Arabidopsis thaliana: one gene and its partners. The protein of the gene in region 2 purifies or fractionates together with the protein of the main gene of each other region. This does not show direct contact. Each region holds a gene or a part of one and is shown on either strand. Other genes may lie near its edges.

Region 1 (7,573 bases), on a different chromosome or scaffold from region 2:
GATACAGTTGTTGCTGCGGTTGGAACAACTGTATATGGGCTTTATATTTTATAAGGTCTATAAACATAAAACTAAAACAAAAATGGGCTCACTAAAGAAGGCCGGACAAGGTTAATCAGATAGAAGGCCAGTTACGTTTTTATTAGTAAAAAAACGCCCACACGCGCCCAGTTTATTAATTTTAGCGAAAAACGGCAGTTTTCCCAGTCTTATACGCGCTTAGTATGCGAGTGGGTAAGATATTTTCATTTGACAGTTCGCCTACCACGCGCCTCACTCATGGGCTCACTTTTATTCTGCCCATTGGGCTACAAGGAGCGTAATATAATTGACCCACATAAATTAAAAAAGGCCTACTAGCATAAACAAACTATTTTGACCCAAAATCGACAACCTGAGATTTTTATTTTTCCCCGACTGAACAATGTGGTTAAATTTTTGCAATGATTTTTATCTAATTTCCCCTAGAAAAATCATACAAGCATTAACCTTTACTTTTTTTCTTTTTTTTTGGTATATAGCATTAATCTTTACTTAGGGAAAAATGATAGTTGTTTACCATTTCTGCTCTTAGTAATATATAGATTTAAAGAAACTACTAACACAAGAACAAGTCGGAACCAATGCAATAAGTACTAGTCTCCAAGTTCAAAAAAGGAGAACTGTTTCTCTGTTTAATTAACAGAAAACAAAATGGCAACTGATCAAATTACAAAATCATGGAGAAGCGTATTCAAAGGCCTGCGGAGGTTGTGGCTCGTCATCTATGGCCATAGCAGAGGTGGTGGCTGCTTGTTGGGCTTGTCCTGCAGCTTCTGCACCCACTGCAGGGGATGCTGTTGAAGTCGGTGCATCGGTCAGAGACAGAACTTCAGGCTCATGCGGACGCAAGTCTCTGAGAAGGACAAACCCTGATGGAGCTAGCTTCATCGGTACATATCGGCTATCCTCCATCAATTTGATGTATTTCTCCTGTGAAGGGACTACACGCGCAGGATTGACTAGAATCTCAAACGTTGCTTCTGGCTCAACCTTCTTCTCCACCGTTGTAGCTGTGCTATCAACCTGGCATAGTAACATAGAGAAAATATACTTGATCAAAAGTCAAAAGACTGATGATAAATTGATCATGACCTTGAGATTAATCATAGGAACAGCATTTCCCAAAGTAAAAAATGTTAAGAGCAATTTTTCAACTCAAACAGATACGAAGATGTTGGGAATTAGATTTGCATTTTACCTGCATAGACTCTGCTTCCTTCTCATCTGACGCTGCATTGGCTTTTCCAGCTTCATTGCCAGAGTTTTCAGCTTTAGCTTTCTGCTCTGCTTCTTTCTTAGCCTTAGCTTTGGCTTTGGCTGAGGTTGAGAGCACAGCAGTTGGTAATTTGGCAGCGGTGTTGGCAGTAGCAACCGTAGTTGGTTTTGGATACTCAAACAACGATGGTTTTGCGTGTGACATGAATTCAAACTTTGGGACTTTGAGATCGTAGTTCAAACCGATGAAGGCGGTGGGTGAAAACGCCAAGCTTATGAAGTAAATCAATGGGTACCAATACCAAAACTGGCTGAAGACAGTAAGGCCAATGACTGCAGTGACTTTGTCATGTTTTGTCTTAGACAGCAGTCTTATCGTCACATTCCTTCCACCAGCATCAAGAATACCTGAAGCCAAAATTGCTCCCATCTTGCTCATTGTATCTTCATGCTTGTCAAGTATTATCTTCTCAAGTTGACGCCTGCAAAAGCACAGACAAATTTTAGTCTTCAAAAGAGAACTATTCTCACTCCCTCCAATTGATGAAGAGATCGGAACTTCACTAACCTAAATGCTCCAACGCGAGAATCGCTTGCTTCACTAATTTGGACCATCACCATGGCCATGGCAATCAGAGCACCTTGACGAACAAAGTCTACAACATCTGATGTAAGTGGCTCCAACAAAGATATCGCCTCACTCAGACCAGTGCCTGCACAAGAGATGCCAACTGCAAGAGCTGCGCCATAGCGGACATGTGGATTGTACGACTCGGAAAGAAGGGATACAATACGGGGAGTCTACAGTTTAAATATTGAGCCACCAGTTAATGACTGTAAGCGAGCACAAGAGCCCTAAAGGCACTAAAGAAATGGAATATAGTGTCAAGAAGTTAATGAGACAAAAAGAATATGGAGTTACCTGCTCTGGATCAGAGTATAAGACAAATCCAAGTGCAAGAACAGCAGTCCTCCTAACATCGTCACTGACATCAGACACAGCAAAGTGAAGAAGTTGGCGGATGGCTTTGTTGTTTGCAGTTCCACTGTAAGCCAATGCGAGTGCATACATTCCACCATAACGGATGATAGGATCCTGATCTCTAGTCATCTGCTCAATCAAAGTATCTGCTCCCTCTTCTCTTCCATATACTGTGAGAGCTATTCCTAGAGCCAATCCCCTAAACACAAAACCAGATGTTGGTTACTTAAAACATTGAAATAAATTACCATGCACCCACACACATAGCCAAAAATATATTCCAGACTTTAGTTACCTTATTATCTTCTCATGCTGAGTCTCGTGAGCATAAGCGAGCATCTCACTTGCCTTATCAGTTGCTGTTCCAACCAACAATAGACCCATGCTTATGCCGGCAGCTTCACCAGCAACAGCACTGTCAGTGTAAAGCACACTTTTGATATCATCATATATGTCTTCATCAGCTGTCCCAAGAGCAGCCAAACCAAGACCTAAACAAGCTCCGTGTTGAATAACCTGCAACCATATTTTTTTAATGAAAATCATTCTAAACAAAAGACTATCTTTTTGGTGATATAACGGAAGACTATCCAGAAGAAAGATATAGCAAATCACCTCAACACTAGTGCTGCGTAGACTATCACGAAGAAATTGCTTGATTCCCTCACCATGGTTTGCATGAATAAGGCCGAGAGCATATAAAGCACCCCCTTCGGAATAAGGACTCCCGCCACCACCTGCTCCGCCCTGAGGCAAGTATGGGGCCATCAGTGACCTGCCCTGTTGCAAGTGACCCCTATGAATAACACCTAATCCTGCTGTAGCACTAAACTTGGCCCAATTGGTGGCCCTGCTTAGCCAATCCTGACAATTCAAACATGAATGGAAAAGAAAAGAAGATTAAATAATATGCCACATAGTTGACGTTGAAACAAGTTAAAAAGTGGTAGAGAAAATAAATTTTACCAAATTCTCCCTGAGAAAAGTGTCAACTGTCGTTCCAGCATGCATTATAGCATTAGCATAAATTGTAGCACTGTGACATACACTGTTCCGCATCTCAACAGATTGTTTGATTGTCTTCAGGATCAGCAGGTCCGATCTACAAAGAAACAATGGCCATTGCTGTAAATTTTACTATGTGGAAGAAACGACTTAAGAATGAAATATCCTTCGAGATATCAAAAAAGGTAAATAAACTGCCTCACTTGTTATGGCTGTAAAGAAACTGGAGTGTCAGTTGTATTGATGTCTCTCCAGATAAAATCCCCTTAGCCTTTGTTAACCTCTCAGCGTACACAGCGTCAACAGGATCTGTTTCATGCACAATTGTCTGAGATGGAGTTTCATCCGCCATCTGAACATCCCCTGCAGTGTTCTCATTCTGAGCAGTAGAGGTTTCAACAGCTTGAATTGCTTCTACAGGACGGGTCTTGGGCGCTGGAAGGCGATCTCTAACACTCATGAGGAATGCCTGGTGCTCATTCTGTACAAGATCGAAAGAGATTTGGAAAGCCAATAAAGCATCATCTTTGTTCTCTGAACGAAGAAGCTTCTCCAATATGCTTGCAACGCCTTGTGGTTCATCCAAGAACATAAGGCATTGGCAAATGCTCAAATAATCAGGAGAAGCCAGCTTCTGGTAAACATTAACAAGTAACCGAAGAACCTGCAAGAACGAAGTAAGGATGTTATCATTTACAAATTAACAGCCCCTACAAAAATGTTTTGAGTTGACATAAAGAATGCAATGAATTATAACCATTATATTTGTAAGAAAAGAATAAAGAAGATGAGCTCATAGTATCATTAACATAATACATCTATTAAAATCCAGTTTTGTGGCCACCAGACTCACCTCATGTCTATATTCTCTTTGATTAACAAAAGAGTGGGAAACATTGATGCAGTAAGATAATGTTCCCTGCACATTCTCACTCTTTATGATCGCTTCCTCCAACTTATCCAATCTCCGGCATTCTATAGCAATGCCCATGGCTTGTTGATACTTTCCGTCAGTGATACATCTATAAAACAGAAAACCATGTAAGGAAAAACGAAAAACTTGTAGACAGACATAAATAAATAAATTCTGCATCCCATACTTGTCTAGCATTCGTTCAACAATGGCCACCAATCTCGGGTCAATTTCCACCACCTCACTTGACTCGACTGCCTTTGATCTGAGAATAGCATACTCATCTATTGCTTTGGCTGATAAGGAAAACAGAAGCATCCATGAGTAAAACATTCAACATTAAACAGTTAGTAACTGTAAGATCACTATCTTATCATGTCTTTGCGTAACTTTCTAGCAGCACAATCTTATTAAAAGAAAGATGGACGTTCAAGTCTTATTAGTTAGAAAATATATCGTATAAACTATTTTCTTAATCTTCCATTTAATCAGGTTGGAATGATTTTGAATTTACGCCTATTAAGAATGATAACCGAGCTAGTGTCTACTGTCACAGAATTGGATAAAAAAAGTAGAAGAGAAGAAAGTAGCAAACTTCAAAATCCTTACATAGAAGAGTATGAATATAATCAGAATCCTCTGACACATCAAACAAGGATCCAGCTCCAAGGGCATAGGACAAGGAATCGTTAAGCTCACCCAAGTAATAGAAAACCTGAGATAAAACAAGATTAACATAAACGTTAGAAAACAAGTCTTATAATACAATAACATAACTTGATTACAGGAAATTCAAGCTCTGAACTTCTGTAGCAATCTACCAGCTTTTAAGGTATCCGTTTAACTGGCACTCGTATCTCCACTAACAATTTATATAAAACCAGTCATCATGTAAGTTAAATAAAAAGATAAACTGTACCTTGGAGGCCAACAAGGCAGCAAGCTGTCTTTGATGCTGATCAAACTCTTCATCTTCGTATAAGCTCTCTCTACAAAAAAATCAAAAAAAGGTCTCAGAATAGCACAAAAACAGTTTAAGATCTCAAGCAAAAGTAGAGTCTCTACAACTTTCAAAAGAACAAATTTTCCGCATCATGACGGTAAGGGAGCGTCCTTAGCCCAGATAACAATGGTTCTATTCAGAATCAACAGAATTAAGTAAAGCAATTCAATAAAGTTTGTCACTTGTGAATTAACGCATTCAAATCTAACTCGACACAAGAGTGGAAAAACTTGGAATGTAATACCCTAACTAAGAAATATCAAGAGTGCTAAAACTCATCCAAATCCCATAAGCTTTACTCCCAGTAAGCAAACAGAATAGCCTCACGAAGGGAAACAATTAAAAAAAAGAGAAGAGAGAATTGAATACATGATTGGGACACTAGTGGAGATCTCGGGCCAAAATTGGTCAACCAATCTGATGAGATATGAGAGAGCGTGAAGTTTCAAGGAAGGATGGGGTTCGTTGAGCATTGCCAGTAACCCACCGGCGGAACTAACCATGGCGGCGGCCATTATCCTAATCGGAAAATTAGAAACCTAGAGGTGGAGAAGAAGAGTTGATCAGACGGAGGAACACAAGAACCGAACTACTTTGGGCGAGCACAATTTCTGAGTTCACTTTTTCACAAGTCTAATCAAAATCGAAATTCTAGACTTATCGAATATTAAGATACTTACCCAACAAGTCAAGTAATTTTTACCAATACCCCTAAATGTTTAATAAGATTACACTTTCACCCCAAATATATATGATGGATCCAAACAAAATCATAAAGTCGGAATACAAAATTGGGTCTAATGATGGGCCAGACTATATATCTTATAGTGTTAATGGACCAATCTAGCGGCCCATAATAAAAACTTTATTGGTTTGTTTGGAAGTATAGCATATGAGTTTCTAGTTTACATCATTGATTGATGACACCTAAAAAGCTAAAGCTCACAAATAAATGAAATCACATTTTAGGGTTTATATAGATAGTTCAATATTCCATAGATTGACATGGCCTGTCCTCCAACCTATAAAGCGACTACATCTTTTATCAAGTCAGAATTATTTTCTAGTAAATATTTTCTCTTAGACCATACGAGTTTTCACTTAATATGAAATTATGAATAGACATGCAGAAACATTTTCATTTTTAGTTATTGCCCTCTGAAACCTGGACAACCTTCAAATTAAATTTTAATATAATTGATATGAATGTATGATTAATATAATTCAAGGAACTGTATATAATAATTGGTGTCATATGTTCTTCAATTTTTCAACTATATTTGCATCATATTTTTCTCTTTGTGTTGGATGAGATCAATATGGCAGTTGGGCAGACAATGAAACATAAAACTTGTCCAGTGACCGGTGAAACATCTTTAACTGTTTTTACTCAACAGCAATTATATCCTAGTTGTTGTACAGGTTGAATCCATGCACATTGACGAAAAGTGCTTATGCTATCACGATCTCTCTCTAAGTCTATATATATACTGCTCATGCAAGAAGCAATTTCGTATCAAAACATCCTCTTCCAATAGCTTCTAATATTTTAACTACAAACATTTTAAGTTTCCACTAACAATGGGTCTAATCGCCGGTAAAGTGCGTGTGTTTGTTTTGGTGTTTGCTTTGGTCACAGATTTTACTATGGGAGAAGCAGAGTTTGGTGATGAGAAGCCCTTGTTTCCTCACCCTCACCCTCATCCTCTCCTCCACAAGAAGGGCTTTAAAAAAGAATTCGGCGACTTAGGTGGTGGTGGTGGTATCAGCGGTGGAGGCGGCTTTGGAGCAGGTGGCGGTTGGATTGGAGGCAGTGTTGGAGGCTTTGGTGGAGGAATAGGCGGTGGATTTGGTGGAGGAGGATTCGGAGGTGGAGCCGGTAAAGGAGTTGACGGTGGCTTCGGAAAAGGAGTTGACGGTGGAGCCGGTAAAGGAGTTGACGGTGGAGCCGGGAAAGGATTTGATGGAGGAGTTGGCAAAGGAGTTGACGGTGGAGCCGGAAAAGGATTTGATGGAGGAGTCGGCAAAGGATTTGAGGGAGGAATCGGAAAAGGAATTGAGGGAGGAGTCGGAAAAGGATTTGACGGTGGAGCAGGTAAAGGAGTTGACGGTGGAGCCATTGGAGGAATCGGCGGAGGAGCCGGTAAAGAAATTGGTGGAGGAATTGGCGGCGGAGGTCACTGAGAATTTGTTTAACCGTAATGTGCATTGATGAGGAGCTAAAATCCAATGCATGTCATTTAAGAAAACTAATTCGTTATATATGTAACAATAACTGAAATGTATGTCGTTTCTCTTTAGTTTGTTTTACTCTTTGAATATGATTGTATCTTGCTTCTTCGTGCAAGTAAAGTGAATAAAACGATTAAACAAAGCCTTGTGCATTTAAATTGATTTTAAAAGGTATATGTTT
Region 2 (5,273 bases):
ATCGACTGGCGCTCCCCGCCGTCCGGATTTCTCCCCGAACCAACAGATTTCCCAGTTAATATCTCTATTCGCTTCTTTAAATTCGATGCATGCATTGATTTTGAAATTTATATTCAGACACGTTTGATTTTTGCAGGGATTCACTGCTCTATGTCTGCTAACGACATCAAAGCGGGAACCAATATCGAAGTCGATGGTGCTCCTTGGCGTGTTCTTGGTATTCTTCTTCCTCAATTCCTCTTAGTTTATGTTATTATCTATACTTGGAACTTGGAAGGTTTCTGAATTTGTAGATACTATTACTAGTTCATGACGATTTAAGCATTGTTTTGGTTATAATGCTTCCACTTAGCTACTTACTAGTCTACTGAGGGTTTTTTCTTGCTTTGTTGGAGCAGAGTTTCTTCATGTTAAACCAGGAAAAGGTGCGGCATTTGTGAGAACTAAGATCAGGAACTATGTGAATGGTAGCACAGTCGAGAGAACATTTCGTGCTGGAATTTCTGTAAAAATCATCTCTTTTTCTCTTATATCTTAATCTGATGAATGATTTTTTAGTTGCACCATTTTGATTATGACCATTCTATGTTACAGGTTGAGGAAGCTAATATATATAAAGAAACCAAACAATTCACATACAAAGATGGGTCTCAGTTTGTTTTCATGGATTTGGTATGTCACATTGGATCCTTACTTCTCTTCTTCGCTAGTATGGTAGTAGTAGCTTAAAGTTTGTGTACTAATGATTACGTTTTCTCTTGGTTATCAAATCTTTTTTTTTATATAGACCACATACGAAGAAACACGTCTTAACGAATCTGATATGGGTGAGAAGACGAAATGGTTGAAAGAAGGAATGGATTGCATTTTGCTCTATTGGAAAGACAAGGTACACTCACTTTCAGCTTCTCTGTAAAAATAGTTAATAGTTCACGTAATTAAGCGGTGATGCCAACTTTGTTTCTCTCTGGATCTTTGCAAGGTTATCGATTTCGATCTACCGATTACAGTTAAGCTAAAAGTGGTTGACGTTGATCCTGGCCTTCGCGGTGATACTGTGCAAGGTAACAATGTTGCACCAATCTATTGTTGAGAGATCTCTTCTCATGTTTTGGTTTAAACAAGCTTAAACTGACCAAGTGGGGTGATGAATTTCGTAGGTGGATCAAAACCGGCGACAATGGAAACGGGTGCAATAGTTGCTGTACCACTCTTTATTAACGTCGGTGAAGAGATATTTGTGGACACAAGAACTGGTGCATACATGAACCGAGCGTGATCCGGGTCTACTACACCTAGTTAATTGGGTCGTTAACAACAAGGCAATGATACATCTTTTTTGTATATGAGAATGTTCGAATCCGGGGACACATGTTTGTTTTTCTGAACATCGAGAGACAATTTTTCGATTAAATAAATTTATATATATTTAAGTTTGATTAAAATCAGCAAATTCATACAAGAACTAACATAATTTGGTCAATCCTAATGCTTTTCGTAACTGTTTAAAAGCATGAAATTTTTTATGATAGAAAGGTTAAGAATGAATGAGGAACATCGAGCTAGAGAGATTCAATGGAATAAGAGATTAATGGCTTCTAAAATCTCTGGATACGCAAAATACTCTCTCAGTCTCTCACAAATTGATGTATTTTGTGAATCTAATGGCTGGTAAAATTTCCTCATTGTGGATTTCAAATCCACATAATCCGGAAAAAAAAGATATGATCTAAAAAACAACAAAAAGTCAGGAAGAATGGGCTTGGTGAAAGGCGGCCCACTAAAATAAATAAAGAATTAGTGGACAAAAAAACCTCCGCCGCATATTTAACAACTGGTCAACGTTCTCCCAATAAGATACGGCCACGTGTATGAACCCCTGGATCTGCGATGCTGCTCTTAAATTCTCCTCTCGTCCTCATTTCCATCTTCGTCTCCTCCCTCAGCCATCCCCTCTGGTAATCAATTCTCCCTCTCTATCTATGTTTGTTTGAATTCTCTCTCGCATAGTTAAGATTCCTTTTTTCGTATTCTAGATCCATAGAATTTATCCAAAATTCATGAATTGTTTCTAAGACACGAAACGGTTTAAGTTCAGGTCATAGTTTTTCTGTAGATCTCGATTTACGTGAAATTTTACTTACCAATAGATCTGAATTATCGAAATTGCAGTTCCTTTTCCTCGAGTGTCTCGTTCGGCTTCATGTCCTGTGGAATTTTTAATCTTTGTCCGATTCTGAATCCGGAAATTGTTAGGGATTTGGGTTTTATTCAAGATTTGTCATCGCTGTGAAAGTTTTCCCTTTTTTTATGTGGGTTCGAAGTTTTCTGAAAATCTCAATTAGTAAAAGGATCACTGGACTTGCTTATATTAATTCTACACCGTCTCTTCATAGATTTGGTCAATCCTGTATCTCAGATCTTATTTGTTCATGTGATAGCCTTTAAATGTGTGAACTTTTCATGTACTTGCAGAGCTTATAAAACCTTCATGGCATTTGCGCACTTCTGCAGCATCCACTGTTTCCTTAAAATCGGGAAACAACAAGAGCTTCTTCTCCTTGTTATTGGATTGCCTTTTGCCAGCCTTTGTTTTAGTCAGTTTTCTCCTCATTAACTTCTGTCGGTACAGAATCTCTCTCCAGGCTGGTGAACTCTTGCAGCTTTCTCAGTGATTCTGTATCGATTTTTCCCGTGTAAATTATGGTTTCCTCTCAGCGTCCTGTCCCCAACAAAATCCAGAAACAGCAATATCTATCCATCAGCCCTTCAAATTCTGTCTTGAAAGATGATGTTGAACTTGAGTTCTCTGATGTGTTTGGTCCACTCCCCGAAGAGGCCAATGATATTGCTTACGACGAGCCTGCTGTTGTCTACAGTCGATCCCACTCCTTGGTTGGCCCGTGTTCGCTCGATAGTCATTCTTTGAAGCTGACCAAGCTCACCTTACTAGAGACTGAGGACTCAATTGACTTGGTGGAGTGTCTCGAAGGTGAATCTTTAAAAGAAAATGATGATTTCTCTGGTAATGACGACAGTGACAATGAGAAAGCTTTAGAGGGAGATCTGGTGAAAGTCTCAGGTGTAGTAGGCATAGATGATTTTGAGGTTATGAAGGTTGTTGGGAAAGGTGCGTTTGGGAAAGTCTACCAGGTGAGGAAAAAGGAGACCTCTGAGATATACGCTATGAAAGTCATGAGGAAAGATCACATTATGGAGAAGAACCATGCTGAATACATGAAAGCTGAGCGCGATATTCTTACAAAAATTGATCACCCATTCATTGTTCAACTTAAATACTCTTTTCAGGTATATATAACACTTCTCTCTGTTAGCATCCTATTTATTTTACTTTACTATTTCTTAACTTAGAGCGTTATACATTCCCTTGCAGACCAAGTACAGGCTGTATCTTGTGCTCGACTTTATAAACGGAGGTCATCTTTTCTTCCAACTCTATCACCAAGGGCTTTTCAGGTTTGTTTAATTCCTTTTTGCGAACCATTTTTGAAGTTTCGCTAGAATTTTGTAAAGCTTAATTGGTTCTATATTTTACTCTTTCGCAGAGAGGACTTGGCTCGAGTGTACACTGCAGAAATCGTCTCTGCAGTTTCCCATCTCCATGAGAAAGGCATAATGCACAGAGATCTGAAACCCGAAAACATACTCATGGATACAGATGGCCACGTGATGCTAACAGATTTTGGTTTAGCAAAGGAATTTGAAGAAAACACAAGATCAAACTCCATGTGCGGAACTACGGAGTATATGGCACCTGAAATTGTTCGAGGAAAAGGACATGATAAAGCAGCTGACTGGTGGAGCGTAGGGATTCTTCTGTATGAGATGCTCACAGGAAAGGTAAAAGCCGCTATCTATTGTTAATTTGCTTGAAGCCTCATGTCTTGGTATATTGTTGTGTGATGTCTTGTTTTCCTTCTGCAGCCACCGTTTCTCGGGAGCAAAGGAAAGATACAGCAGAAAATTGTGAAGGACAAGATCAAGCTTCCGCAGTTTCTGTCTAATGAAGCTCATGCAATACTGAAAGGGGTAAGTAAATGTTGGTGCAGTTTGATTACAGAATCAACAGTAAACATGAAAATCTTTGTGCAGTTAAGAACTATGAAGCATTGTATTTAGAACAATTCTGACTCTTGACTTTGTAATGAATGTATAGCTGCTGCAAAAAGAGCCAGAAAGGCGACTTGGAAGTGGACTGAGCGGAGCAGAGGAGATAAAACAGCACAAATGGTTCAAGGGAATAAACTGGAAGAAGCTGGAGGCTAGAGAAGTGATGCCAAGTTTCAAGCCGGAAGTATCGGGAAGGCAATGCATAGCAAATTTTGACAAGTGTTGGACTGACATGTCTGTTTTGGATTCTCCGGCGAGCAGTCCCAGTTCGGATCCTAAGGCCAACCCTTTTACCAATTTCACTTACGTCAGGCCTCCTCCTTCATTCCTTCACCAGTCCACAACTACTTTGTAGATTTACTATATTTTTATGTAGTTCCTACTTCTTTGGTTGTTGTTTCCTTCTGACACATGAACATTAAAGAAAACTTTGGTTACCAAGACGCTTAATTTATAATTGATTTTATGAGATTGTTATTGATTGAGATTAAGTAGAGCAGCTAACACTTTGACCTTTTGACCCACGATGTAATATAAAAGAACGTTGAAAACGTGTAAATATAAAAGATGATAACGGTGATGCCTTTGGACCGAACTAGTGTCCGTCTGAACGTCTTGTAATGTAATGGGCTTAAAGAATTCCGGCCCACTAAAACAAAGAAGAAGTTCGGTTTCCCAATAGAACACGAACACGTGTCCTCACCCCATGATCCACGATGCTTCGGAAGACATAAAAAATGTAGCCACGCGCCTTCTTAAAACCTTTTCCTTTTTTGGTTTGGCACATTACCCTCTTTCCTGTTAAAGTTGTCTCGTCTCCTTCTCGTCTCCTTCCTCAAGCATATTCTCTGGTAATTCCTCTCTCTCTGTCTCTCTTTGACTTTTCTCTCGCAGAGTTTAGATTCTTTTTTTTTCTGGATATAAATTATTTACACGACACGAAACCTTCTAGGTCCAGGTCATAGTTTTACTCTATATCTGGATTTGTTTGAAAATTGCTTGTGTTATGCGCCAGCTTTTTCCCTAATATATAGACTAGGTCTTAATTACAGATATTAGAGTTCGTTTCCTCGAGGGTTTCTTTCGACCTCGTGTCCTGGTGAAATTTTGGAATTCTAAGGCTTTGGGGTTTTATTTGGGAG
Region 3 (6,818 bases), on a different chromosome or scaffold from region 2:
TAACCATGTCAAAATACAATCAAGTTGACTTATACGAAGTCTAGGTGACATGAGAGAGATGGAGCACTAAGAGAGGTAAGGAGTAACGAGTTCCACGTCCTTACGAATAAGAAACGAAGAAAGTTAGAGACCAATCGTATCGTTTACTTTTTTGAACGCATGATCACTTGTCATTTTAGTCCATACCATATCTCTATCGAAATCCAATAATGTTCTCTATGTGGACCCAATTTTCAATCTTTTTATCTAACTTTCTTCTTTTGTACGATCCACCTTTTCATGCTATAAAGTTTGTAATTGCAATGCTCTAACTTTTTCAAATGATTATTCTTCGTTTTTTGTTCTTTTTAAAAATTCTTAATTATATCATATGAAGATACAAATAACTTCATCAAGTGAATAATAGTTTACGAGAATAAGACTGAAGGAAGACTATTTTTGCTATATATAAAAATTGATAAGCATGAAGATATTTTTGAATTTTGGTAGTGATCTAAAGAATACACACATTGTCTTATGTTTGGTCGAGTTGGAACGATTTTATTGATTTCTATCTCATTCGCAAGTTAGCTTTGTTGGGAGTATATTTGATCCATTTTTTTGTCAGTGCCAAAGTGATATCTAGTAACAAAATAAGTCATTACAAATTAGCAAATAGTGAGAAGATGGACCGAGCCACATCATTTGCTGGGTATCCTACTATTAATATGCTACTAAAACCATCATCAAACTCTCTAATCACAGCAATATTAAGCTTTCCTCATGAATCTGTGATTATACTCTCTTGATTCTATCACCTTCAGCTACCAGAAATCCTTCACTCGCTAGCGTCGCGACTGCTTTTCTAACCTGTTTAATGCGTCACAACAACAAATACTTTGTTATGTCTCTGTCCTTAGACCAAAAACCTTTTGATATGTAGCAAAGTGTTATAAATGACTCACATCATGAAGATGAATTTCGGTGTTTATGTTGCCTCCATGCTTCTTCAGTTCTTCAAGTAACTGCAACAACAACATTTCCATTGTACTTAAGAAACGGTTTCTCTTATTGTAAACTGATTTGCTTGCTTTTGGCATATAACAAAATTGGGAAAAAGAAAGGAGTAGTGCATGAATACCTCGGATAAGCGCATTGATGATCCTCCAATTTGCATCTTCTCCAGAGCTATGTCTCTAATTGACGACGCAAAGGTATCCCGCCTCATTCGTTCACTTGCTGACACTCCAGTATTTATCAGGTCCATGTCAATGGTCCCTTCACCAACATAAATACAGGTGTTTATTGTTAGATTGGTATTGAATGCTACTGTTTATCTTTATCCTGATGATAATAATGGGTCTGAAAGTTACTGTGAAAAAACTACCTGTGGCGTGATCCGTTGCTGATTGCTGCATTGCAACTCTGAGAAGTCGAAATGCCTCGTCCACGTCATGCTTTTCAACCTTTATCACAAAAACCATTTCAGTTGATTTAGAACGATGAAAGGAAAATGTATAATATGAGCGTTTAACTAACCCATTCGGAGAAGCGCATCCGAGCCAAGGCCTCACTAAGTCTGATCAAACTTTCAATCTGCCTAGGAGTTGCTGTTATGACCTGTGCCAAATTCAGAGCGTTTCATAGCGTTAGACTAGTCATAGCCTTTTTATGAGCCTTGGTTACGACATAGAAAAGATATTGAAGTTTCGAGGGCACACCTTTTTGCTACTGCCAGCAAACTTCCCTGCTTTTCTCAGCTCAACATATCCTCGGGTCAACTCCTCTGCAGCTTCATCTGACAGTTTAGGATGAATGTTCTTGCGGGCATAGCTAACATAAGTTGTCAGTGTAGTAATATCTATAGCTTCCTCCTGAGCACTCTGTATATTGACACAAATGATACCAATTAAGTAAGATAAAGGCAAAAAATAATTGTCTGTCAACATATCATACACACTGGGAAAATATATAATATAAGACCTCAGCGTTCTCAAAGTGAAGGGCCACAATATGCTTTGCAAGCCTTCGGTCAGTCTGCTCATCGGGCTTGTCAAGAATCAAGTAGATCAAATCGAATCTAAGAAGCAAAATGAGATTATAATTAGTAACACCAAATAGAGGAAACCATTAGCCTTTAGTAAAAATAATGTCACATTGTTGAAGGATTGCAACATACCTAGATAGCAAGGTTGGAGGAAGGTGAATATTCTCAATAACAGAAAGCCGGGGATTATAACGTGAGCCACTAGGATTTGCACAAGCCAACACAGAGGTTCTGGCATTTAGAGATGCAATAATACCAGCCTTTGCTATTGAAACAGTCTGCTGTTCCATCACCTGACAGAGAAACAATGTTCATCAGTAATGCAATCTTATTGACTAGAGACCACATTCACAGGGGGCACCCAAAAACTGTAAGCTACGACTTTGAGCAATGCTAAAAAAGAGAGAGAGGAACAAACCTCGTGTAGCATGCTCCTCGCACTGTCAGACATTTTGTCAAATTCATCAATACAGCAGATACCTCGGTCACTAAGAACAAGAGCTCCACTCTCCAAAACCTAAACAATGTAGCATTCATGTTAGCATGTCAGGTTTATGAAAACTTTGAAACACAGAATAAAAAAAAACAGCTGATAATAAAAAGATTGAAAACAATATTAGCATACAGTTTCTCCTGTCTCAGGATCTTTAGCTACATAAGCTGTTAAACCAACAGCTGAGCTCCCTCGCCCACTTGTGTAAATGCCACGGGGTGAAAGCTTATGAATGTACTGGAGCAGCTGGGACTTGCTCGTACCAGGGTCACCAACAAGTAAGATGTTGATGTCACCACGAAAATTAGCACCAGATGCTAAGTTCAAAGCATTCCCTCCAAAAAGCTTCACATTTGAAATTTGACTCAGTAAAAAGAACTAATTTTGTTTAAACCATAAGTCAGTATCAAAAGCGTTACAGTACCTGGCATAGAAGACCCTTTTTAACATCATCCAACTCCCAGATGTTTGGTGCTAGTGATCTACTAAGCCTCTCATATATATCTGGTTGTTTAGAGAGTTCCTGAAACTTCCTCAGCTGAAAAGTAACACAAATATTGGTTGGAATGGAGGGACGAATGAATAAGATACAAAACTGTAGAACCATTTTAGTTAAATAGATGAAATACCTTCTCCTCATCTAACTCGACATCTTCATCAACTCTACGCAGACTATTGTCAACATCCATAGGATCCTCAGCAGACATTCTTAACTTACTTGCTTTCTTTATGTGAAGGCAATCGATATAGGTCTGTCCTCAACATTCATAAGAAAACATAAATGACAATGTCAGAACGTAATTACAATAAAGGGAAATAACTAACAGAGGAAGAAATAAGATGACATGCCTTAAACACAGATTTCACAGTCCTGTGAGCAGGTCCCACTCGGACAGTCATTGCTCTGTAAATTCCGGTGACCTATCCAGAAAACAAGCTTTTGATTGTCAACGAAAACCATAGGAATGAATGTACTACCCTGATAGAATTACTGCTTTTATTACCTCAATTCTATCACCAGGCTTCCCATTATCAACTAGCTTATCATGCAGCAACAAGCTAACTGTGTGAGGTGTTCCTCCTTCTGGAATCTCATCAGGTGTTTCCTGAAGCCTCACAATCTGCTTATCAGCAAACCTGATACACAAAATAAAGAAGGTAAGTTACAGAAATTATAAGAATCAGACATATACTATGTCTAGAACTTACCTGCATCGGTTGTGCACTAGTGTCATGGAGTTCTTGGTCATGCACTCTTGTTTCAAGCAAGTAGGAGGCTCACTTATTTTCCCTATCAATCAAACAACATTATGAGAAACTATGCAGATACATAAAATCTGGATAAATCCAAATGACCAAATTACCTCTATCAACGATGATGGGGTCAGAGAAGTAACCACAAACAAGGCATCTAAACACAGCTTCCCTTATTTCAGGAATGATAGAGCTACTCCGAATTATCATACCTTTCAAAGAGATCATCTTCTCGATATCTAACCAACCAAACAAAACACATCCAAACATAAGCTAAGCTATTACCACTAGAGAGAACTAAGAAACCAAGAAGAACAAAAACTGAATCATACTAACCAGATGGATTGAGATTTCTCATGGAAGTAGATGTCCTGAGGTTAAAAATCCTAACTTGAACATGTTTCTCGAACAAACGATTAATCGTGGAAACAATATCCATCAGCACAATATCGAAGATAGCGAGAACTTCCAAAGGATAACGAACCATCTTGTTATACAAATCAGGATCATAATCAAACACATCAAACGCATCAACATCAATCCATTCTCCTTCAATCTCAATCACCTTCCTTATCGAAACCATATACTTCCCTTCTCTAAACAAATCATCACTATTCTCTCTAGCTTCTCTGAAATGCTTAACAAACATTTCAATCGCAGATTTAACATCTTGCACACTGATGTTAGTTCCCCAAACGAAAGTCGGAGTAGTATCGTCGCCTCCGTCTTCTTCACCGTCATCGGAAGAAGGCAGTGGCTCGTCAGTGGACATTGGCGTCCCTGGGTCTCCGCCACCACCGCCACCACCGCCACCTCCGTGTCCATTTCTTCCTTTAGATCTGGCGGCGGAAGGACGAGATGTTGGAGGAGTGGAATTGGATGATGCGAGACGTGAAGGCGGTGGTGGAGGAGTTGCGAATTGCGTGGGAGTAGAGGATCTTCCTCGCCGGCGACGGTGAAGTGCGGCGGGGGAAGAGTATGTGTTTTCGATAGGGCTTGAAACGTTTTCTCCGGGAGAAGGAGGACCTGAGGTAGTGAGATTCGTCAAAATTATGAAGCAGTTTCAGATTTAGAGAGAGGGAGAGAGATAGTACCGTCGTTGGTGTTGCCGAGAGAAGAATCAGAAGCCATGGCTGATCGGAGAATTGATTGAGAGACGGAGTGAGAGGTTTCGACGCTTTTTTAGTGAGAAGAGATGAATTAGGCGGGGACTTCACTTGATTTTGGCGCCATTATTACTGGGCTTTTAATGGACCTAATTCCTGGGCCTATTGGTCCCATTTCTTAAACCAAATGACAAAATCAATAAGATGTTAAGAACAGAGGACAGATCTCATCTATTCGCCATTCACAAGTTCAAACAAAAAACTTAGAGAAGCAACAAAGCATAAGACCCATAAAGACTGTTAACGAGAATGTTCCCTCTTTCAAAGACAGCTTACAAGACCCTTTGTTACAGAGAACCAAAAGTTTCAAAACTAAGCTAACAAGAAGTTGCATACTTTAAACATGAAGACTGAGACTAATAGAAACCAGGAATGGTAGAATTCAAGGAATGTTTTCTTCAAGTGAGTGAACGATTTTGTACAAATCCCATTTAAGTATTTAGTCCAAAGTGTCATCATGAAAATTAGTCCCATCACACACAACCGACAAACACAACAAGATATTGAAACAGAACAGAGGACAGATCTCATCCAGAAGAAACCATGCTGAAATTCAAAGAATAGATACTCAGATTAAGACAGAGAACTAAGAGAAACTGCAACACCTTGTTCTTGAGACCAAACAAAATGAAGGATACATATAAAGCTCGTTCAAAAGAGAAAAAAAAAACAGTAAACATAGATAATGTTGATTTAAAAAAAAAACGCATAAGTAAGAGCATAAAATGGCATGCCCATTGCTTTCACCTGGCTCGTCTCTATCTCCTTATCCTTGTCACTTGTCAGTCTTCTTCTCCTTGTCCCTTCTCAGTCTGACTCTTAATCTGAATCATAATATTCTGGCTCGACCAATGGAGGATGGACTGACTTGAGTTGTTTTAAATCGTAAACATTGAGATCCTCTACGTGGTTTACAAAGGTGCAAACGTCACAAGATTTCGTAACGGCTTCACCAAAACCTTGAATTTCAACACGTTGGAGACTGTTCCTTTCGGGATTGAAGTAAAACACATAAAACGGTTGTTTAGGATTACACTTGCGCATCGAAAACACTATTTCACCCGAAGCAGTCACTCCAGCGATGGATACCAAACGACGGAAGAACTTTTCATCGGTCCAAGTGTAGGCATGTTTCGACCATTCCTGTTTCTCAACATCCGCTAGAATCCACACACACAACTCATTAGTGGCATCAGCGTTGACATTATTCTCCACATATTCCTCGACATCTATACCCTTTTTGTAATAAAGCTCTTGAATGTCGACATCATCCTCCCAATAAATCACAGCTAATTTGCCCTTGTAGTTTATCAATCGACAAAACCTTTTTACGTCAATAAAGGTGAATTTTTCAGACCTAACATCAAAGCAAACTATCATATAACCAGACGTTACGTGATTACCATTAACGCGACTCCAATCCGACGTGTCACCTAAGTAATACAAAACCCCATTGATACATACCCCTTCACTCTTAATATCATGTCGCAATGAACATTTTATCCTTCTCCACTTCAGATCTCCAGCTCCAAATGTAATAACTCTACTATGACCAGGACCAGATGGATAAACCATGGACAATGCCTTGTATTGCTTGTCAATTGGGTCAAACCCGAAAAAGCTAAACGCCTTTCTGTAAGTATACCGATTAGGTAAGATGGCATACCGTCCTGTAGTGGGGTTACATATTAGAGGTCTAGCCCGGCCTCGATTACCATAGATATAGATCAAGCCAAAGGCATAACCAATTGAAAAATATTTTAGGTCATAATAATGACAGATCAGTAGATTGTCTGGAGAGAATCTCACATGAAATTCAGCGGTTGCTACAAGAGTCGATGAGGATTTCTCATATGGATTCTCAAGCTGTGGCGACGAG
Region 4 (6,114 bases), on a different chromosome or scaffold from region 2:
TTTATTGGCAACCAAATACTGATTATCGACTAATTAAAAGAATCGTAACGTCAAATATCTAATTGGTGTAGTTTATATGTTATAAAATATGTTATGGATAAACAACCCACAAGAAAGTTATAAGAATTGTAATGAATTTCAAATTTTCATTAGACCGTAAAAACAGATCTGGCGCGAAAAAAATTAAAAGGAAGATTAAATAAAAGAACAACGACTCTGCTGGGGATCGAACCCAGAATCTCTGGTTTCGTAGACCAGCGCCTTATCCATTGGGCCACAGAGTCCTTGTGATGATAGTAGAACACTTAAACAATATAACTTTAATAGAAAGGTACTATTCCCACAATAGCCAACGCCAGTTTTCTTCTATAAAGATCCGTTTAATTTGCATGAACCAACCTAAACCTTCTTCTCTGTATCGTTTCAATTCCAATTACAGTGTACTTTGAAGTTTGAATTACTATAGAAAACCAAAGTGAATCAAAATATAGACTGATGATAATCACACTTTTTGACAGAACAAAGAAAATAGCTTTTGAGATAGAAAAAGAAAGAAAGAATCGGATTCATGAAAAATAACGTTCATAATCTGAAGTATCAAGCTTTCATGGATTGTCTAATAACACTAAACACAGAAATTCACCAGGAACTTATTAGGTACACATCCAAAGAACCCCAGAAAACAAGAAAAAAAGAAAGCCTTTTTAGAACCTATAGAAGAGGATATCTATTGTCTTTGAGACAATAAGAGTATTGCACGATTCAACATTAGCTGAAACCTTGTTTGTTTATCCTCAAACAATGGCTGGAGTCTTCTCTGCTAGTTTCTGTAGCTTCTCGGGACGAGAATCTTCGGTTTTATCTTCCCCATAAGCTGAAACATGAACTCCAAGAGCCGCACGACCTGATGGGTCAAGATTCTGTGACCAAGCTGCGTCCCATTCCACAGCTTTTGCTGTGCTACATGCCACACTTGGACCTCCTGGTACAGTTGCTCTAGCAGCACTCTGCTCATTTATCAGTTATATATCCGTTAAACAAATCTGAGCAAAGATCAAGACAATTAAAGAAGACCAAGTAGTTATGCAGATGAAAATCATTACCTTAGGGAAGAACTTTTCAAAGATGGTTCTGTAGTAGTAAGCTTCTTTTGTCAAAGGTGTGTTATCAGGGAAGACAAAGCTTGCGTTCATCAGCATTGTCTCAGAGACCTTACCAAAAGAGAAAGGAGAGTACCGCAATAAAATCAAACTGTTACGTTAAAATATTCTTTCTTATCGATTAAAAGAGACATCTTCTTACATGTTTGTTTGCATGATCTTTTAGACCATCAATCCAGCTGTATCCAACTCCATCACTGAACTGTTCTTTCTGCCTATATAGAATGTGCTACATTTACCAAAAAGATGACAAGTTGTTAGCAAAGCTAGATAGTTTTGTCAAATTGCAGGGAGCAAAGTTTTTGCTAGAAAACCTTTGGTAGGTAAGGATTTTTCTCATCATCAAAGGCATTGCGTAACACCCATTTCTCGATCCTTCCCAAATCAGGCCTAATCTGCATCATTGTTTAGAGTACAAATTATCACCAAATTTGAAACTTGAGATTATAAACTTGTGATAAAAAGAAAGTCATGAAAGAATCAATTCAAACTAGAATGTCCTGAAAGCAGTGTTATATATCATAGAAAGGACTCACAATCACTTTGGTTGATGTGTGCGTAATAAATAGATGAAAATGAAAGTGATGAGAAAGATGACACCTACCATCTTCCACTCTGGATCGATGCTCATTGCGACATTTATAAATTCTTTATCGAGGAAAGGTACACGAGCCTCAACACCCCATGCAGAAGTTGATTTGTTAGCCCTCAAGCAGTCATATTGATGAAGAGCTTTGATCTGTAAACACATCCGCCCACAAACAAGATTACAGAAGGCAGTATATCAAAAAAAAAGTTCTTGTCTAAACTCTAAGGCACTACCTTTCGACATGTTTCCTCATGAAATTCCTTCTTGTTGGGAGCTTTATGGAAGTACAAATATCCTCCAAAAATTTCATCAGAGCCTTCCCCAGAAAGAACCATCTTTACACCAAGCGATTTGATTTTTCGCGACATAAGAAACATTGGAGTGCTGGCTCTAATAGTAGTCACATCATAGGTCTCAACATGGTAGATGACTTCTTCTATGGCATCTATTCCGTCCTGATATTATCATTAGCGGAAGATATAAACAACCAACAAATCTTCATACTCAATACTCTTGTAGATGTAAAAGAGAAAATTTACCTGAACTGTAAAGTGTAACTCGTGGTGGCGAGTTCCTAAATAGTCAGCGACTTCTCTGCCAGCTTTAAGATCCGGGGATCCCTGAAAAGAAAACAGATGAAAATTATAAATCTTGATGAGCATAGAAAGCTTTTGGTGAAAACATTTTGAGAAATTGGGTCAAGACCTTCAAACCGATACAAAATGTGTGCAACTTTGAACCCCACTGACAAGCAGCTTCTGATTTTTCCAGATGGCGTAATGCTACTGAAGCAACAAGGGATGAATCTAATCCACCAGATAGGAGGACACCAAAAGGCACATCAGTCATTAGTCGTTTTATAACAGCCTGCAGTTCAAAGAAATGCCCACATTCATATTTCCAAAATAAGATCAGCATTTGTCAGAGAATATCTTAAGGAAGATAAGACTCCAGAATTTACCTTCTCAAAAGTATTGCGCACCACTAGGGGATCATATGGGGTTGAAGGAACAACCTCAGAGAACCACGGGGGGTTGTACCACCTCCTAAGCCCACCTACAAGAAAGTTTTGTCCCATCAAACTACACAGTAAAAGTCCCAACACAAACTTACTAAAAGATAACTAAATACCAGTTTGACAACATTGATATCTGTGAGCGTTTCCACGACAATATAAGTCAGCCAAGAAATGTCATTATTTGATTTTAAAAATAGATGTGATCTGATATGAAGTGCGAACCTTGTTTACTTGAATAGATGTGGCCTGGGGGGAAGCACATAAACTGCTCACAATCATCACTAAGTGCTTTCATCTCGGAAGCAAACCAAACAGAACCTGTGGAAGATAATTTGTCAAAAAGATAAATCAGTAATCAACGACAAAGAAAGAATGATCTTAACCCATTGAGGTGAATATCTTAGAAAAATGTGAACACACCATCGAGACCCCACCCGATGTAGAGTGGAGTGATACCAATGGCATCCCTTGCAGCAATAAAGCTTTTGTCTCGGGTATCAAGAAGCACAAATGCAAACATGCCATCCAACATGTCGACAAATTCCTCTCCATGTTCTTCGTACTACAATATTATGAAAATATAAATCAAACTGATAGAAGTCTGAACACAGTAACTGTTCAACTACCATAAGGTAATAAAGATTGAGGTGACCTTATTGGACTTAAACTTACACACAAGAAAAAGAAACAGAAAACACAACATCTAAAGAAGCCATGAAGTCAAATCTTCTTTCACTTAGTGAGTACTTACAAGATGGGCAATCACTTCACAATCACTCCCAGTACGGAATTGGTGAGACTTCAAATTTTCACGCAAAGCCTTGTGGTTGTAAATCTCTCCATTGACCTGAAAGCAAGGAAAGAGTCCAAACAAAAATACTCCTTATTCCTAAATCACATGAATCCTCATAAAGTTTGAGGTTTGACTCATGATTTCTTTTCATCATGTCAATGATCATTGAAAAAGGAATCGATATTCACTAATCCCAGTTGCTCCAAGCAATTGAGATTAGGACACAAGTAGAAAAATTACCGTGACAGCAATGGTCTTATCTTCGTTATAGAGTGGTTGATCTCCAGAAGTGGGGTCAACGATAGCCAAACGCTCATGAGCCAAATAACAATCCTCATAACAATGTAGACCACTCCAGTCAGGACCTCTATGCCTCAATCTACATAACATTTCAACAGATAGCATCATCAGTTTACCCATTCAATCAATATTTGACCAAAACATCTCCACAAGATAGAAATCGAGTAAAGGCTCTTCATTTAACAAAATCAAATCGTTTTAACCATAAAGTTGGAAACTTTTCTCTTCCAAAACAATACCCAATAACCTTTAGAACATTGCGCAGCCAAAAACAAAACCAAGGAGATCGAAAACAAAGAATTGGATGAGAGACATTAAATGTGTTTGATTTGAGTATACCTGCGAGAGAGTTCGATGATACGGGAACGTTTAGCTTGAGAGTTATCGACGCAGCCTAACACAGCGAGAATCCCACACATGGTGGTGGTGGCGGCAATAAGAGAACACAACGGCTTCAGAGAAATGGATGCTGTGAAAACTAAAAAGATGAACTTTATAAGATGGGTTTCCAATATTCAATCAGGACCGTTGATTCTGACAATTAATTCATTTTTATTCCTTAAGAGAAAAAGATTCTGATTTTAACTTTACCCTAATTTGCCTTTGACTTATTAATTTCGGAAAAAGATTCTGTTCCCCAGTGTCACGAGATTCGCCGGATTCTCGAGGAAAAAAGGAATTCTTAAAACGACGCGTTTTGATATATCCAATTCTCAATGAAACGATGTCGTTCGATAATACTCCATCACTAATGATGTTCCATCATAAGCAGGTTTTTAATAGAGTTAATCATATGATTAACCACTAATCAGAAAGTCACAACTCTTTTCATCAAATGTGTCAACAGTCTTCAAAACAATGTGAATACATAACTGGGCATTAAGCTGACATTTTTTTGGCAGAGACTATGATTGATTGGTTTAATTCCGTAAAACACAAGTTAGGGCTTATGACATTGACATTAAGCTGACATTTTTTGGCAGAGACTATGATTGATTGGTTTAATTCCGTAAAACACAAGTTAGGGCTTATGACATTGACATTCTCCTCCTGAAACTAGTTCTTTGTCCCGTGGAACTTCTTCTTCGTGTCCTCTCTCTTGTTTCCTCATCTTCTCGTTTTGTCTGGAACGATTTCTTCACCTTTTGCCAACGCAATCCCCAGTTATGTGAGCTCTTCTGTTTGCTACTTAGCCTTTCATACTCTTGTTGAAGCTCATTGTAATCGCTCTGAAGCTCTGACATCTTCTTCTTCACATTTTCTAACTCTTCCTTAAGTGTCTTGATGATTTCATTATCTCTAGACATTCGTTTATCCTCACGACCTCCAGAATTTTCTTCCTCCTTCTCTGGTAGCTTGTCTTGCATCATCATCCTCATCTTTACTTGTTCCGAGAAAAGCACTTGAGTATTGATCTTGTTTATGATAAAATGTTTTAGCTTTGGTCAGTCACTTGTATTACTCTTTGACTTCAAGAAAAGCTTATAGGATAAAAACTGTTCTGTTTTATCGCATACCTGGACGATAGTTCTTAGAGGCAACCGATCATTTTGTGCAGCGTGTAGGCATGCATCAAGTGATAGTTTCTCACAGTTCATTGTTTTGCATAATCTTCTTCTATCGTGATCTGACAATGAAGGATGAGTCTGCAACAGGGAATTTTTATCATTAGTTGTAGTTTTGTGATGAAATAACAAGAAAAGAGTTTATTACCTTGAGAAACATATCAATTGCTCTATAGAGACCATCATGACATTTCCAAGCATTTTCCGGCAACATTTCTGCTAGAACCTGAAACTTTGTGATGGGAAGATATGGATCTTTTGCAATCTCGGCTAAATAATTGTCCAAGAGCTTGGATATGCTTGGCTTTCCTAGAACTTGTTGTTGCTCATGCATCAAGAAAAACTCAAAAATCCTGTGAACCACATCCACATTGTATATAGTGTATACCTCAGGTGAGCTGTAGAACATAAATCAAAGTTATCAAATAAAGACTTCTTTAGTCGAAGTATCTAAAGTTAAAGAGTAAATTTTTCTCACCTGACTCTTTCTTGCTGTTCTTCATTTTTGAAGTTAGGAATTAGGAGGTCACATACATTAGCATCTTCCAAAGCCATGCCGACCCGTTTCTCAAGATCAGATATTAAAGCTGGTGATGCAGAGTAAACAATTGATGTTTTCAGCATCCTTAAGAGAAAGTGACATGAGACTGCTCCCGATTGTGGAGGAAGTACACTGACTAAACTTTCAA

What was found.
Region 1: the proteins of PK1 (region 2) and AT1G04810 purify together in Arabidopsis thaliana (affinity purification with mass spectrometry, with the first as the bait; one large-scale study listed by BioGRID). This does not show direct contact.
Region 3: the proteins of PK1 (region 2) and MCM4 purify together in Arabidopsis thaliana (affinity purification with mass spectrometry, with the first as the bait; one large-scale study listed by BioGRID). This does not show direct contact.
Region 4: the proteins of PK1 (region 2) and ASN3 purify together in Arabidopsis thaliana (affinity purification with mass spectrometry, with the first as the bait; one large-scale study listed by BioGRID). This does not show direct contact.

The regions. Positions count from the first base shown.
Region 1 is NC_003070.9:1,348,406-1,355,978, reverse strand, and holds AT1G04810 (26S proteasome regulatory complex, non-ATPase subcomplex, Rpn2/Psmd1 subunit), read right to left. Parts: upstream 5,900-7,573; 5' UTR 5,676-5,899; coding exon 5,530-5,675; intron 5,147-5,529; coding exon 5,077-5,146; intron 4,873-5,076; coding exon 4,767-4,872; intron 4,454-4,766; coding exon 4,345-4,453; intron 4,267-4,344; coding exon 4,098-4,266; intron 3,909-4,097; coding exon 3,448-3,908; intron 3,342-3,447; coding exon 3,206-3,341; intron 3,104-3,205; coding exon 2,855-3,103; intron 2,756-2,854; coding exon 2,535-2,755; intron 2,439-2,534; coding exon 2,180-2,438; intron 2,059-2,179; coding exon 1,826-2,058; intron 1,740-1,825; coding exon 1,241-1,739; intron 1,066-1,240; coding exon 718-1,065; 3' UTR 513-717; downstream 1-512. Other genes in the region: AT1G04800 (glycine-rich protein), read left to right, coding at 6,742-7,344. UniProt on the Arabidopsis thaliana protein: Acts as a regulatory subunit of the 26 proteasome which is involved in the ATP-dependent degradation of ubiquitinated proteins.
Region 2 is NC_003074.8:2,650,794-2,656,066, reverse strand, and holds PK1 (protein-serine kinase 1), read left to right. Parts: upstream 1-1,854; 5' UTR 1,855-1,958; exon of another isoform or gene 1,959-2,475; 5' UTR 2,476-2,703; coding exon 2,704-3,309; intron 3,310-3,394; coding exon 3,395-3,477; intron 3,478-3,566; coding exon 3,567-3,861; intron 3,862-3,945; coding exon 3,946-4,050; intron 4,051-4,177; coding exon 4,178-4,486; 3' UTR 4,487-4,746; downstream 4,747-5,273. Other genes in the region: AT3G08740 (elongation factor P (EF-P) family protein), read left to right, coding at 1-54, 137-217, 399-505, 595-672, 788-889, 983-1,064, 1,161-1,279. UniProt on the Arabidopsis thaliana protein: Downstream effector of TOR signaling pathway involved in osmotic stress response. Could be involved in the control of plant growth and development. Phosphorylates the ribosomal proteins P14, P16 and S6.
Region 3 is NC_003071.7:7,125,762-7,132,579, forward strand, and holds MCM4 (Minichromosome maintenance (MCM2/3/5) family protein), read right to left. Parts: upstream 4,969-6,818; 5' UTR 4,905-4,968; coding exon 4,868-4,904; intron 4,800-4,867; coding exon 4,110-4,799; intron 4,013-4,109; coding exon 3,884-4,012; intron 3,811-3,883; coding exon 3,729-3,810; intron 3,657-3,728; coding exon 3,524-3,656; intron 3,441-3,523; coding exon 3,369-3,440; intron 3,272-3,368; coding exon 3,149-3,271; intron 3,058-3,148; coding exon 2,944-3,057; intron 2,865-2,943; coding exon 2,652-2,864; intron 2,544-2,651; coding exon 2,445-2,543; intron 2,320-2,444; coding exon 2,159-2,319; intron 2,060-2,158; coding exon 1,963-2,059; intron 1,863-1,962; coding exon 1,701-1,862; intron 1,600-1,700; coding exon 1,519-1,599; intron 1,446-1,518; coding exon 1,367-1,445; intron 1,258-1,366; coding exon 1,121-1,257; intron 1,005-1,120; coding exon 945-1,004; intron 850-944; coding exon 775-849; 3' UTR 518-774; downstream 1-517. Other genes in the region: AT2G16450 (F-box and associated interaction domains-containing protein), read right to left, coding at 5,759-6,818. UniProt on the Arabidopsis thaliana protein: Probable component of the MCM2-7 complex (MCM complex) that may function as a DNA helicase and which is essential to undergo a single round of replication initiation and elongation per cell cycle in eukaryotic cells.
Region 4 is NC_003076.8:3,212,140-3,218,253, forward strand, and holds ASN3 (asparagine synthetase 3), read right to left. Parts: upstream 4,413-6,114; 5' UTR 4,280-4,412; coding exon 4,200-4,279; intron 3,940-4,199; coding exon 3,801-3,939; intron 3,615-3,800; coding exon 3,519-3,614; coding exon of another isoform or gene 3,515-3,518; intron 3,330-3,514; coding exon 3,188-3,329; intron 3,086-3,187; coding exon 2,990-3,085; intron 2,806-2,989; coding exon 2,711-2,805; intron 2,617-2,710; coding exon 2,455-2,616; intron 2,370-2,454; coding exon 2,289-2,369; intron 2,205-2,288; coding exon 1,983-2,204; intron 1,900-1,982; coding exon 1,765-1,899; intron 1,556-1,764; coding exon 1,475-1,555; intron 1,390-1,474; coding exon 1,303-1,389; intron 1,212-1,302; coding exon 1,104-1,211; intron 1,008-1,103; coding exon 795-1,007; 3' UTR 512-794; downstream 1-511. Other genes in the region: DOT3 (Phototropic-responsive NPH3 family protein), read right to left, coding at 4,889-5,275, 5,378-5,506, 5,574-5,823, 5,904-6,114. UniProt on the Arabidopsis thaliana protein: Essential for nitrogen assimilation, distribution and remobilization within the plant via the phloem.